Linked DNA regions of Daphnia pulex. The protein of the gene in region 1 interacts with the protein of each later gene in a biochemical or structural test. Links are inferred from orthologs where the notes say so. Each region holds a gene or a part of one and is shown on either strand. Other genes may lie near its edges.

What was found.
Region 2: the proteins of cathepsin B-like (region 1) and cystatin-B-like form a complex in vitro, tested with the Homo sapiens proteins (2 studies listed by BioGRID). The link is inferred for Daphnia pulex from reciprocal best matches to the Homo sapiens genes CTSB and CSTB.

The regions. Positions count from the first base shown.
Region 1 is NC_060028.1:8,221,957-8,225,626, forward strand, and holds cathepsin B-like, read left to right. Parts: upstream 1-807; 5' UTR 808-1,001; intron 1,002-1,141; 5' UTR 1,142-1,268; coding exon 1,269-1,280; intron 1,281-1,351; coding exon 1,352-1,498; intron 1,499-1,561; coding exon 1,562-1,777; intron 1,778-1,839; coding exon 1,840-2,040; intron 2,041-2,100; coding exon 2,101-2,245; intron 2,246-2,311; coding exon 2,312-2,428; intron 2,429-2,490; coding exon 2,491-2,696; 3' UTR 2,697-2,855; downstream 2,856-3,670. UniProt on the Homo sapiens protein: Thiol protease which is believed to participate in intracellular degradation and turnover of proteins. Cleaves matrix extracellular phosphoglycoprotein MEPE. Involved in the solubilization of cross-linked TG/thyroglobulin in the thyroid follicle lumen.
Region 2 is NC_060017.1:5,653,699-5,656,494, forward strand, and holds cystatin-B-like, read right to left. Parts: upstream 1,302-2,796; 5' UTR 1,054-1,301; intron 954-1,053; 5' UTR 951-953; coding exon 774-950; intron 694-773; coding exon 574-693; 3' UTR 503-573; downstream 1-502. Other genes in the region: uncharacterized protein LOC124190305, read left to right, coding at 1-15, 75-183, 252-443. UniProt on the Homo sapiens protein: This is an intracellular thiol proteinase inhibitor. Tightly binding reversible inhibitor of cathepsins L, H and B.

The DNA.
Region 1 (3,670 bases):
ATCGAATTTTGTTTTACCTTCAAGACAAAGGGAATCGTAAAAAAATCTCAATTTTTATTGCTATTTTTTGTCCTTGAGGTTATCTAAGGTGTTATTTGAAGCGAGCCATTTCTTCCCATCATCCGCAACTTTTTTTTATTCGTGGTACCATTGTTCCAACGTCTTGGAACCAAATCTTCTGTTGTTCATCAAGCGACACCTTCTTTGTAGTTTCCTTTTACGATATGATGAGTGTGCAGTTCTCACGATTCACGATTTCTCACCACTGTTACGTAACATGTGGAAAATCCCATTTTATACGACATCATGTCTATTTGATTTATGTCGACAGCAAAAGCGGTATGAAAGGTTTGATGTTCTTCTGGTGATGTGAGCACAGGTTAATCGGGGTTAATCACTTTGTGTGCACCTGTCGTATAAACTTTTATTCCTGTAGTCAGCCAACAAAGAATAAAGCTTAATCTTTCGTTTCATGGAGGTTTGCGGTCTTACGGGACGTCTATTTTTAATCCGCATTTCGCTAAGTAAATGCTATTTAAAACCAGTTTTACCTGTACATTCGGCCATGAACTACCCCAATTACCACATCTAAATTACCTTGAGACATTTCAAATGGAAAACCCCGTTCACTGGTTGTTAGGGAGTTTGCCAATCGTGTGCAGGCTTGGTTAGACGGTTTTATTTGGTTAGAAATGTATTCCGGTTTTTCCCCAAATAATTGACAGAATGACTCATTCGAATCGATGTCTTTCAAACGTCTACATGTTACAGAGCGCCTCTGGTGGACAATACTTTTAAATGCGCATGGCAACAAAATTGAATGCACTGTAGTGGGCCTGTCTGTCAATATAGGGCTTGGTTTTAATCCGAACAAAAGGAGAAATTACGTTTTCCTAATCAGTTTACTGCGTATTTTTGTTTCCAAGGGACAGTGTAAAAGCAATATTGAAAGTCAGCAATAGTCAAGTTTGTAGCTTGCGACGCCCATAGTGGAATTGAAGGTAACAGGGATTGTCATCTCTTTTCTCAGTTTAGTTTCCATTAAATCAAATTATTTGTGTCATGAGGGTTAAGATGTTGTTGAGTTATTTTGCATTACCTAGAATTCTAGAAATCAAGTGACGCCCCTCACTTTCTTTAGTTTGCAAAAATGTTATCGTCTTGAATCCTCCCCCCTGGTACACGCGTTTCTTGGTTGTAAAGAAAATATATAGTCAGTGTGTCTAAGACTCACACGAAGTCATTTGGAAGCTCTGAAAGTTCTGAATATGTTTATATTTGTAATAATTGATATATATGTTTTATTACATCACAAATTGATTTTAAAGTGAAATTTTCTTTTTCTTTCCAGAGTTTCACCATGAAGACAGTTTTGTCTATTATCTTTGCTGTTGTACTGGTTACAAGCCAGGCCAAGAAGTTGAAGTCAAACAAGTATTTTAATCCTTTGTCAGATGAGTTTATCAATCACATAAATTCCATGAAATCAACATGGAAGGTAATATGACCCTTGTTTACTTACACTGTGTTTTGATGAATTACTTATGTTTCATCCTCCTAGGCTGGACGTAATTTTGGTAAAAACTTCCCGATGGGAGCCCTGACTCAAATGATGGGTGTACACCCAGATTCAAACTTGTACATGCCTCCATTGAAGAATGTCAGCCAGATGTTTAGTAACCAGGCTATTCCAGAGGCTTTTGATGCTCGGGAACAATGGCCAGATTGCCCCACCATTCAAGAAATTAGAGATCAAGGCTCTTGTGGATCTTGCTGGGTAATTTTTTTTAATTTGCTGATTTTAATGTCTCTTAATTTTTCTATTTATATTGGTTTCAGGCCTTTGGAGCTGTAGAGGCCATGTCAGATCGTATTTGCATTCACTCAAAGGGAGAAGTAAATGCTCATCTCTCAGCCGAAAACTTGGTCAGCTGCTGCTACACATGTGGCTTTGGATGCAATGGTGGCTTCCCTGGTGCTGCTTGGAGCCACTGGGTTAAGAAGGGTATTGTCACTGGAGGCAATTACAACTCAAGTCAAGTAAGTCGATATACTTAATTTTTAGGTGTGAATAATTACTGTTTTTCTGGCCATATATAGGGATGCCAACCGTACATTATTCCCGCATGTGAGCATCATACAACAGGTGATCGTCCACCTTGCTCAGAGGGAGGCGGTACCCCGAAATGCCTCAAGACTTGTGAAGATGGTTATACAGTCGATTATACGCAAGATCTTCACTATGGTATGTCCGGTTTTATTCTCGTTCTCAATTCAAATTAACTAACAGAGCTTGTTTCCTAAAAATTAGGTGCTTCTTCTTACTCTGTTCACAAACGTATGGAAGACATTCAGTTAGAGATTATGAACAATGGTCCAGTTGAAGGAGCTTTAACCGTTTACGAAGATTTTCCTACTTACAAATCAGGTATGAAAGAATTAGGCCTTTTTTATAATCATTTTTTATCGCTATTCTGATCTCTCAATTAGGCGTTTACCAACACGTACATGGAAAAGCACTCGGCGGTCACGCCATCCGAATTCTTGGATGGGGCGTCGAGGAAGGTGTTCCATACTGGCTTATTGCCAACAGCTGGAATACCGACTGGGGTGATAATGGTTATATCAAACTTCTTCGTGGGAAAGATCATTGTGGCATTGAAAGTCAGATCACAGCTGGTCTACCGAAACTCTGATTTTCTCTCAATATTACCTAAACGTTTACAGTTTAAACATTCTTTCTGTTCACCTGTCTGCCTTATTTTTCCTTCCTTTTATTATTTCTTTTTTCCAATCGAAAATTAACTAGACTGTTTAGGTTTTTGAACAAAAATAAATCGGTTTAGTTAAAATGATATCCTCCTAATCTTTATTGTTGCATTCCAACAATTGAAACTTAATTGGAAGTCCTTTTGGAATGAAAAGTAGCGTACTCGAATTATGTTGCACTGCAGTTTTACCATGTCTCTTCCGTTCTTTGTTATTGTTTCACAACAAAAATTTTTTTCTAATTCAAATTTCAAATCTTTGGGAATTTGAATAAGATTGTCCTTTGTGACGCTAGATGGTGGTGGTACTATTATTGTTCTTAATAAAATGGCGAAAGGGGTGTGAAATTAAATTGTGAATGTCTTTTCTGCGCAAAATCAATCAATTATTAACATGTAAGCTCATTTTTATCATTCTAACTTCAAAGCAATATTTTTTATCTCTCACTGTGTACTTGATTAATTGTCTACTGTACTTGAAACTCTTTATAATTTATAATAAATTGGATCTGGGGAAGGCATCAATAATCAATATCTTGAAGATTTACCACAGGAAGTTAACCTGAAATATTATAATTAGCCTAAAAATTAAATGACAGAAGAAACTATTATGCTTTGAAAGACATAGCTTGCATTATTACCTTGATTTCTATTGTCACAAGCACCTAGGTGCTAGGTCACACAAAAACTTCAGCTGAAACATTAAGTCTGAAAGCAACAAGAACCATTAGCTATAGGTTGTGTTATCTATTAATTAAAAACGGTCCAATAACTTACCTAAAAAATCTTAATCTAAATTTGTTTAGATCCTGTGTTCTGTTTGGTGTAACTTAGGACCAGACGAAGCCAGACAAGCTATTGCATTCCAAAGCTGCTCTCCAATTATCAATGGCCATCGAACC
Region 2 (2,796 bases), on another chromosome or scaffold:
TGAAAATCAGTGCAAGTACAGTTTCCCATACTACATAATCCTCTCAAATATTTGATTACTGTGCAAACATTTAGAAAGCTGAAAGATCGTCTCGAATACCATGGAGTTGATTACCACACAGCTGCTGCTGCTGCTGCTGCAGCCAGTAATTATGCTGAAGCTACTGACTTTATAAGTGAAAAGGTATTACAGTTATTAACTTCATATTGTCTCATTTCATAATACTCTGCATGGTTTATTAATACAACTAGGCAGAAAATAATGTTAAATCCAGACCCAAACATATCAGGAAGAAACGAAACAAACCAAGCAATAACCAGAAAAGTTCAACAGTACCTACCGATAACAACACAAACCCTTTAAAGGCTTCAACAGCTGAATTTGAAGGAAATTTGTCATCATCATTCCCAATTTCAAAAGACGATAACCTTATTACCATGTAATCTCCTTAATTGTATTTCTACTTTAACCTAATAAATGTTCAAATTTCCATAAAGCAAAGTAAAGTCTTATGTGTTTATTAATTTTTTATGATAAAAAGTGCCATTAAAATATTGAATGGAAATATATAAGTTAAAAATATGTGATGGGATCTTCTCTAGTCTTGTCTTCTTGAATGGAATGAACAGATACTTCACGTTGCAGATTTTTGTATATGCGTGCATGGATGCATTTATCATTGCCAACATGAATCTGCAATGCAATAGGTAATTTAATTAAAAGTGTGTATGAGAAACTTAGGAAAAATAAAGGAATATTAAACAGTTCTTGACCTTGACAAAATAGTTGCGTCCAGCTACTACTTGAGACTTAAAAGTAATGGCTTCAAATACTTCAAAAGTTCCATTCATTTTTCCTGTAATTTGGTCTTTGACTTGTTCAACCAAAGTTTGTACTTCAGCAGTAGCAGGCTCATCGTTATCAGAGATTCCTCCTGTCATTTTGGACATTCTCTAGAGGTGCAAGAAGAAATCACAATTAAGAAAATTTGCTTTTTAATAGTCGAATGGATTATGTGCAGTAAAAGAAATCAAATAGAACATTTTAAAATACCAATATTGAGCTGTAAGGTTAAAAAGTGTAGCCTGAATCTGCTGGAGAGTGAAGACTGAGACAGCAAGACTAGAACTAGAAATAGAATGCGCACTTGTGTGTAACGTAAGGCTGTAGAATTGTAGATGATGATTCACCACAAGTGTTCGACGTTGATCAACGATTCGACTTGGTAAATTTCGTTGGTAAACTGCTGCATGGACGTCACGTCAGCTGATGAGTCAACGCCCGTTCTTTTGTTTGTTGTTGTCACACTAACGTCCTGGTTTGTGGTTTCCATAACAAAGCCTCCCCCTTTTTTTCTTCATAAGATTAATAGGTTAATATTTCAAGAAACTCCTAATCTTTTTACAACGCAATACCCAATACTGTTTTTTTTTTATTATTTTTTTTTCTAAAATTATATTAAATTAAAAAAATGCGGGAAAATCTTTTATTTTTGTAAATTCTTCGTTGTTGGTTTTTCACGCAAGATGGAGTTGTGTAGACGGAAGAAGTTGCATCGACTGCTGTTGTCTTTTGACAGCTACGATTAATTATTTACTATTTTTTATTTCTACTCCTTCTATCACTCTAACAGCGAGAATATTGGTCTATTGGAATAACGGACTTGGATGTCAAACTATATTTTAGGTAAATATTATGTGGAAAATGCAGTTCAAGCAGTTCTAACTCCACTATTTATTAAAACTTCCAAAGCAGAATTCAAACACAACTCAACCCAAAATTGGCTCACGGCTCACTTTCATTTTCATTGTAGGTAGCTGATTAGCGTAAAGAATCGACGTTACATATACCTATGTGGCCTACATGATGAAGTATCAAGTATGTATGAGAAATTTATCTTGAGAATTGGTACATCACAATGAGCACATCACTCCACTACCGCCACTACTTTGAAATCTTCACTCTCCTCTTTCACTTGAGTAGTTAAACTTTAATGACTCAGTATAAGTAAACTCCTTTACATTTATCTCATTTTCACGAGGGAGCTTAAAATATGAAAACGAAACGTCAAATCTAAAAACGCGAAAGCGAAAGCGAAACGTGAAACACGGAACACGAATTATATCATTTTTGAGACAGAGAAATTGGCAAAACCTCAATAGATTTGCGAAAAGTCTTGCGAAAAGCTTAGCGAAGCAGTAAAAGAAAATTGTGTTACGGTCTGACGGACTCAATTATCTTCCACATATTTTAATGAGTAACTTTCAGATTTGTTCTCATAAAAAAAAATTTCTTTACTCCAGGCTATGACGACAATTATGGGTTTTTAAAACTTTTCCCGATTCATAGTTTAAGTGCTTTTATAGTTTATGTAAAATTAAGAAATAAAAGAAAACAAGGAAAACTATTTTTCAGAAATCAACTGTGCGACGCCACTGCGGTCGTGCTATTTCTCCCTTACGTTCAGATCCGTCAAGTGAACAGAACAGGAACACATGGAACATGTTTCGTTAAATGAGAATTCTGTGGGCCTATCACATGTCCCACAAAGAAAACTGCACTCAAGAAACAAGTTTGATTTGTAAAAGTTTCTATTCATCACTAGGTATTGCTAATGAATAATTGAAAAACGACTTTTAGTTAGCCAGGGCTTTGTAGAAAATTTAGATTTTATTGTGTCATGAAACTATGTTAACGATATATTCATCTGATATTCATATACAACTGAATCTATAGATCACAATATGGCGAGCAGTTCATACAGATAATTTTATAATGTCTATATTTTAAGTGAGA